Oryzias latipes: one gene and its partner. The protein of the gene in region 1 purifies or fractionates together with the protein of each later gene. This does not show direct contact. Links are inferred from orthologs where the notes say so. Each region holds a gene or a part of one and is shown in the gene's direction. Other genes may lie near its edges.

Region 1 (4,296 bases):
AATGAGTTATCGCTATATAACTCATCGATGGCTGCAGCCACAAAACAACGTTATTGCGTCCCCTAGCGGTTCAGGCACCCGGCATGACTCACCGGGGATTTTCCTACTCGAAGCCCTGGACCTCCCCCACCCTCCAATGTCAACTGACAGCTTTCATTCGTCTACTTGTCCGGACTTCACTTGGATCAGCTTGAACACGTTTGTAACACACAGAGGCCTCTCTATAGGCGGGTTCTCCGTTAGCTTAGCGGCTAACTGTTGACGGCTAACTTTACCTGCAGGTTTTCCTGTTCGTCCACCAACAGGAAACTCCGCGCGCCGCCGGGACCCTCTTCCGGCTTCATGGAAACTCTCTCAATTTCCTTCATCAGGACCTCAGACATCGCTGCTCAGGTGTTTATGTCATAATCGGGACGCGGGAGAAGAAACGAAACTTCAACATGACTTGTAATCACAACAACAGAGCGTGCGTACGGAGGGCGGGGCGAAGGAGGACGTAAACTTCGACGTCACCCCCACATTCTGTGCGATAGAGTGCTTTAGCACCACCCTGTGGTCAAAGTGTAAAAGGCAGCTTTGCCATTCATGAAATCAGCGATCACGGCATGATTTCCTCACTCAAAAAAAAAAAAAAAAAAATCTGTGAATTATTTCATGTTTCCAATACGTTTATTTTTATAAAATAAAGTTTAATTTAGGACAGTATTGATGTATTTGTTATTGTCCTTCAAAACATTCCCTTTGTTTGAAAATCTTCCTCACAAATAACACAAAAACTGTCGCAGGGCGTTTGGTTTGAGCAGTGGGGCCTTTTCGAGCTGCTTGCTAATGTTCATTAAATATTTGTTAGCACAGATCTATAAATATCACATGTCACTGGATTCAGAGTGGTGGCTCCACTACTGTGGCTCCACTGCCAAACTGTAAAGACAAATCCAGGCCTCCTTGCTCCTACCCCTCGTCCTCCTGCCTCCCTCCGTCCATCCCTGCAGCAGACGACAGGAACAGCACGAATTGGAGGGGTTCCCACTTCTCAGGCGAGGAGGCAACGACAGACAAATGTCTGAAAGAATCAATTACATGCCCACTCTCAATCTATTAATGAATAATTAAAGGTGCTCGGAGCTTTGAGACACGGCTCTGTGCATCCAACCACATCTGAAAGTTATCATGCACACTTGTTTTATGATTTTCCAGTGTTTCAGGCTGTGATGTCTACCCCCTCCTGTGCACAAGGCAAAAAATGATCCAAATGCAGTTTTGTTTGAATCCTTTAAGACTATTTTTTGTTCGAGATTCCTGTGTGGGATCAGTAGTCCCGACCTCTGTCCTCACATGTGAGGCTGATCTCCATCCCGAAGCTCCACCAGGCTCAACTGGACTTTTTTTCTATACATTAGGACAGGGACGGCTCTGCTTACCTTTCAAGTACGAGGCGGGTCGCTGAACCACTGGAACCCCCTACCCCCGCCGGTATTTGTAGTCATCATCTGTTGTCCGTCCTCCGCGCCGCCGTGCGCCAAAACTACAGTTCCCACAAGCAGCCACGGTGCGCTCCCGCCTCCCATTGGCTGTGCGCTGAAGCCGCAGCCCCAGAGAATGAATGAAATTGAAATGCTACATTACATGTAGAAAACCACCGGCTCTGCGGTGTTGCATTCTATCACACTATATCAAAATGGCCACAGCGGTGCAGAACCCCCTCAAATCGTGAGTACCGTTCATTCTCCGCTCCTAACATCCGAGCATGCTGTCAGCGTCATCTCCTTATGTTCTAATTCTGATCCTGCTCCACCACACGCTTGATGTAAACGGCGGAGACCGAGATTATGATGCCAATGAAAAGTTAGCCTATTTTGCGGGATTTCGTGTCGGTGTCCTTTTTTTTGTCACTGAGTATGCGCTGCGGTTCCTCACATCCCGTACCCGAGCCAGCAGCAGCGCGCGCGCGTATGGAGGAATGCTGGGGGAGCTCTGGGTGACCCGGCATGTCCCTTGCCGGTGTATGAACCCAAAAGATCGGTCAGATCCAGGCTGGGGGCTGAGTCGAGCTAACATGGCCCTCCAGAACCTGTTAGCGCGCGTCTTTAGAGGCAGGACGGAGCTCGGAGCGGCTTTCCGGCTGCAGCCGAACTACTGGACCTGTGGGAGATGGAGAGGCGGAGGTAAATACACTGCGTCTCCCACGCTGACTCCATCTGAATGGGATGCCGGCGCTTTGTACCCTAGAGTGAGATGATTATCAGCCGGTGGCGTGTTTAAAGCGGCCCCTTCTCCCTAAAGTTTGTCCGTTAACGGTCCGTTTTGCACATGTTTTTATTCGGAAGGAGGGGGGGGGGGGGTGTCTTTTTCTGGAGGAATGCAGCGGCGCGCGCTGATGCTCCCGGCCAAAGACAGAGGTAGCCACCGCGCGGCTGTCAGCGGGTGCTGGCACTAATCTCCCCCGCATAACGCATAAAGGCGCAGGCACCAACCCGCCGGCACCACAGCGCTCCAACTGTAGCAGTTTGAAACAAAGAAAAGTCTGGAGACCTGCGCGCCTCGGCTGCTTCACCTGAGCGCACAGACCGCGCCGGGGCGCGCACACGCCGGCGACATTTCACGCAAACCCAGATCAACGAACAGTTTGGAGCGTGGACGGAACTGCCAATTAAGAAACTGCTCTGAATGGCTGTGATGGTATTTCACCATTTGTTGTTCAAATCATGAGTGAATCGTCAGGTGGGTCATTTCCATCCACACAGTCGCTGTTATTTGACTGTTAAATGTTTATTTTGAGGCGGGCAGGTGACGTTGGGATGGAGAATCTTCAGGATGTGGCTCTCCTCTGTTTTCTCTTCTCCACTTTCAACTCTTCCTCCATTGCATGCCCAAGCTAAGCAACCGTGTGGCCAGGTTGCGCCCAGAGACTTTCAGTGAAACCATGTCGGGATTCATTTGACTGATTTGCAAGGAGTCTGCAGCAGAACTGGGAGGCAACAGGAGAAAAATGAGAGGAAAAAAGTCAGAAGGCAGCTGGGCCAGAGGATAATGAACTACATCCTAGTGTTGAAAACACAGACTGTCCAAATGAGGGATGACAAAGTGTCTGTTTGGACCTTCAGTGCAGAACCCTTAAAAAGCTGAAAGTCTGCATCAGGTTTAGAGGTCTTTCCTCTAGATGACTTTATCATGGTCTGGTTGAAGCACCAAATGAGCTCTGATATACACTCTTGAAATTAGCATGTTTGCAAACAAACTTGTTATGGAGACTTGTAAATTAGAGCCCCCATTCTGTGAATCGAGCCAAAGAACCAAAGACTTGGTTCAAAGTCAGCCCTAACAGGGGGGGCTGGCTGCGTGCCGGAGGCAGAAACAAAGCCTGTTGTGTCCCAAAATGTCTTTAAAGCTAGCTGAGTCTCAGCAGTAAATTGCAATTAATTCCGTGTTTGTTAATTCCCATTGATGCCCAGGATCCAGCCAAGCTGTGCAGCCCGCTCATGCTCGGCTGGACGTGTGTGGACGTACAGTGGAGGGTTTCATGTGTGTGCAAAAGCATATCAGCAAACCAGCTTCATCCAGTCGGCCTCTCTCTGCTGGATTAGAGAATCATTTAATCTCTCTTACTCTCTATCCTTTTTTCCTGTGATTTCCTCTCTGTCCTCCCATCACCCCCTCTGCCCAGTCTTCCTCCTCGTCTCCCTCCTTCTTTGCCACTTTCTCAATCCATCACTTGTTTCAGTCCATCCCTTTGTTTAACCATTTCCTCTTTGCCTTGCTTTCCCTTCTCCTCTGCCCATTTTCCACAGGACTTCTGCATTTTGAATCAATGGCAGCACCGTGTTTTCAAATGCAGTGCGAGCAGCAGTGAGGGGAGCTTTCTTTGCATTTGATCACATTTCCCTTCAATATTTATATATAAATATTATATATAATATAGAATTTTAGGATTGCTCAAGAGGAATTTATTTTCAGTTAAATGCAAGCCACTGAAATGGATTTGTGGAGTTGCAAATACTTATTTAGCTTAAAAGACAATGTGAACCTCCCATACTTTTGAGCGTTTGTCCTGAAATGTCGGTGTTAAAAGTGGTGAATGTGTCCTTTGGAGTCACACAGGAGACTGTTTGAGTCAAAGCTGCAGTGGATGAGGCATCTCCTTCAGCAGAGAGCTGGTTAAAGGGGGAGATGCAGATCAGTGTGTGCTGTGGTGTTGGAGGCAGTTGTGGCAGGTCCTGTCTAATGATATTTCTGCCCTGCCTGACTGAGCCCAGCTAAATGAGTTCCATGTAATAACTGGCTCTGTGTGCAAACAGC
Region 2 (3,937 bases), on another chromosome or scaffold:
TTTACGTCCAGCAGGAATTCTGTGATTTATCAGAATGGAGCTGTGAAAGAAAAAGTCTTGGGCAAGATTTGCACCACTGACATTTCACACCCAGCCTCTTCCAACTGTGGCAGATATAGTAAACAGTGGGGAAAGAAGAAGAAGAAGCCCCTCCCTGCTTGCCCAGTGTGAACTTAGTATTTTACCCTTTCATGGGTCAATTATGAAACGCATCCTCAGTGATAAACGAGGCAACTCTGGTTGGTCCAAATATGATGGACATGTTTTGTCAGTACTGACAGCCTCGGGTCACAAGCGTAACTTCACTATATGTCACAGTGTGACAGTCATGATAGTTTCAACCAGAACCCAACATGGCTAAGCTAAACGTGGATAGCAACCGCACATTTTAAATTATGTTAAATGAAAAAAAGTCTACCAAAAAAAAAATCATTGAAAATAATAAACATTTAGCAGAAATGGTGTTTTGGTGGTGATGGCCTCAAAGTGTTTTCATACCCTCCCTTCACGACAGGGGTTTTCAGGAGTGGCACAAGAAGGGCAACACAAGATTTAAAGATCTGTTTGTGGACAACACCCTGGATTCATTTGAGCGGCTAAGCCGAACATTTGGTAGATACCTGTTAGGCAGTATCTTCTCTCTCTCGCTGGAGACCGGTTTGGATTTGAAAGTGTGTAAACAGACCAGACGACACCGTGTGGCTGCATGAAGAGCTCAGATGTTTATGGATCATATATCTAAGAGCAACAGAATTTCGTTGTCACAAGTTTCTTGTGTAACAATGATAATAAAGGCTTTCTGATTCTGAACTTCCATTAGTTTGAATCAGAAAGCCTCCCTCTAATTCCATGTTGGTGTTTCCGGCCCTTTGATGTCTCTGCGGTAAAGCTGCTTTGTTCTTTTTGTGTAAAATACCAACAAAAATGACAAAGAGTCAAACTTTTTCTCTTTTTATGGCGATTTTTTTTACAAGTGAGTGGGTAAAAACAGAACAGCTGTGTTCCTGCCGCGGCGGACACCCTGTACCGGCTCTGGGGGCAGACCTGGGGGGCAGAGCGGAGGCGGCTGCGGCTTCTTTGTTCCGCCGCTCAGCAGGATCTGATCTGAGCTCAGCGCGCAGCCGCAGCCGCCCCCCCCCTCTTCCCCCGGAGCCGCGCAGGCGCACTGGCCTCTCTGTGCGCTCTACTGTTTGCATTGTGTCTGAACTGCCGGCGAGCTTTAAAAATATTTTAGCAGCGCGGAAATGTCGGGCAGGTCGGTCCGAGCGGAGACCCGGAGCAGGGCCAAAGATGACATCAAGAGGGTCATGGCCGCCATCGAGAAAGTACGAAAATGGTGAGTAAACGCCGGGAAAGGAGCGCTTCGTTACCCGGGAGCAGAAAGGCTCTCTTGTTGGGGGAGGAGAGGGAAGAAGCGAGACGGAGACGGATGAAATTGAAAGAAAACGACGTTTTCTGGACGGCAGATCCCGCCGCGGCTCAGGTGCAGCGGTCCGCACCGGCGTACCGGTCTTCGCCGGTCGGAGGCGGGCTTCGGCGGGAACCGGTTCGTCGCATAGCCGCTGTTTTTCCGCCGATTTTTAACGGCTAGGGCTGAACCCAGAAGAAGCCATTTCGATGCAGTCACATGAAGCCATTGCTGCTCGCTGCGGAGCCGGGAGCGCGAGCGGAGCGGCGCCGGCCAAACGAACACCCGGCGCGGACGGAGGGACCGTTCGATGACGCTCCGGAGTCCGGGCTCTTCGGCCCGCGAGGAGTTTTAAGGCAGCGCTCGGAGTCGCCCTTCGGGTCCGACGGAGCAGCGCTCGGTCGGTGGGGGTTGGGAGAGGGAAGTCCGCCGAGATGCATGGCTGAACGCGCAGCCAGCGGCGCCGAGCGACCGGTTCGCCGCGGAAAATCACCCTTTAACCGCCTTCAGCTTCTCCGCCGCACATATACGGTTATCACCCGGACACGAGGAGCGTGGATCCAGCCGCGTGACCCCGCCGGGGGGCGGTATTTTTTTCAATTTCTGCCTGTCTGGGTGGATTAATCAAACGTCTCCAGGTCAAAGTCAGAAGTTTATTTTTTTCGATTAAAGTTAAGAAAATAAAACGGAATAAACAAACCGGAACCAGAAACTTTAGGCGGGTAAACAAAACAGTTTCAGTCAGTTATTCCCCCAAATTTAAAAAAAGTTAAACATTTTGTTTGTAAATTGCAACAATTCATTCCTAATAAAAAATATTTTTAAAACACATTTTAACTTCTGTTTAGTTTTATTAACATCAGTTTAAGGATTAAACATTTGTTTCAGTTTACATTTTTTTCTTATATATGAGAAATTTTAATACCAAAATTGTTTATTTAGATAGAGGGATTTTACCTTAACACCTAAATGTAGCTTTTTTAAAGGTTTAAGTAGTGATTTAGAAAAACAAGGGAAATAATCGAATCATACTGATCAATAATCAATATATTGATCATTTAGTGACATTATTTTTATAACTTTTTTGTTGGTTTTTATAAATTATAGAAAAATATTTTTTTCCAACACACACTTCATATTCATTTATGAATAATAAAGCTGTTTAAGATTTTTGTATATATACATCTGATCGGTAACTAATCAATAATATAATTAATGTATTTTGTAAAATATAAAAGTAATAAAATCAGTTTGAAATCTTAAAATAAGATTTTTAAAGAGGAGAAAATAGCATTTTTCACATAAATCCCTTTTAACATATATATTTAAAGGATTTATTATTGATATAATTAAGGGGAAAAAATCTTCTTTTGATGTGATTTTTGGTTTTTTAATGAAAGGCGCTTCTGTCAGGATGATGAGGTTTTCCCCTTAAAGTCAGAGATGCTTCCTGTCCTGATGGTTTCCTCTCTTCAGGGAGAAGAAGTGGGTGACGGTGGGAGACACGTCCCTCCGCATCTACAAGTGGGTCCCGGTGACGGAGCCCAAATCTGAGGACGTGAGTCCGCCTCTGACACCTGTCAGCCGGGGTTTCTCTTCAAAATGGATGATTCTTATTTTCCGTTTTCAGAAAAACAAAAACAAGAAAAAGGGCAAAGATGAGAAGTACGGCTCAGAGGTGACGACCCCGGAGAACAGCTCGTCTCCGGGGATGATGGACATGCACGGTGAGGCCCCACCCCCCCACCTGAGGTCACAGCTGGACATGACAACAGGTCGTTCTCTGATGAATGTAAATAAAGGCTGAGCGTGCTTCTCCTTCAGACGACAACAGCAACCAGAGCTCCATCGCAGACTCGTCCCCAGTGAAGCAGGAAAACAGCTGTAGCACAAGCCCCGCCCCCGAGAACAACGCCGCCACGCTCCGTGAGAACAGCGAGACCAAGAGCGAGCAGAGCCCGGACAGCAAGAGAGGTCAGAGGTCAAATGCAAACAGCAGCTGGTTGGAGCCAGCGACCCCTCGGCGCAGCTGTAGCCTCAGCGCCGCCCTCAGGGAATTCAACCGTCAACCGTGTTTTCCAGACGGGCTCTGATTGAGAGCACAGAGAGGAAATGAAGTCAGACAGTCTGAGCCAATCAGAAAGGCTCTGTGTGAAGCCCCGCCCTGATGCGTTGTGAAAACGGCGCCCTCATCATGGCCGATCTTCAGAAAGACCAATTAAGATTTAATTGAAGCAAAACTGAACGAATCCAATACTTTGACGGAATAAAAGACAAACCTTTATCCCAATTTGTCACAGAATTCCTTAAATACGACCAATTCAATTTATAAACCCTAAAATTACAACAATAGTTGTCCTGATGGGCTTCAATGTGACGGAGAACCTTTACATCTCGTTACAAGTTGCAGTTCCTTCATTTCACCACAGGGTGTCAGTAAAGCACCACAAAAGGGACTGCAGTTTGATCCAAGCTGTGACCTCTGACCCACAGGTAAGACCACGCCCTCGTCAGAGACCTCAGAGAGAG

What was found. Proteins that work in one complex are often made in the same cells at the same time.
Region 2: the proteins of dpf1 (region 1) and bcl7a purify together in Homo sapiens (affinity purification with mass spectrometry; 3 studies listed by BioGRID and IntAct, counting the BioPlex papers as one, with this or other methods). This does not show direct contact. The link is inferred for Oryzias latipes from reciprocal best matches to the Homo sapiens genes DPF1 and BCL7A.

What each region holds. Positions count from the first base shown.
Region 1 is NC_019871.2:18,133,554-18,137,849, forward strand, and holds the start of dpf1 (zinc finger protein neuro-d4), read left to right. Parts: upstream 1-1,496; 5' UTR 1,497-1,603; coding exon 1,604-1,710; intron 1,711-4,296. UniProt on the Homo sapiens protein: May have an important role in developing neurons by participating in regulation of cell survival, possibly as a neurospecific transcription factor. Belongs to the neuron-specific chromatin remodeling complex (nBAF complex).
Region 2 is NC_019870.2:1,211,988-1,215,924, reverse strand, and holds the start of bcl7a (B-cell CLL/lymphoma 7 protein family member A), read left to right. Parts: upstream 1-1,137; 5' UTR 1,138-1,244; coding exon 1,245-1,336; intron 1,337-2,884; coding exon 2,885-3,135; intron 3,136-3,232; coding exon 3,233-3,382; intron 3,383-3,901; coding exon 3,902-3,937.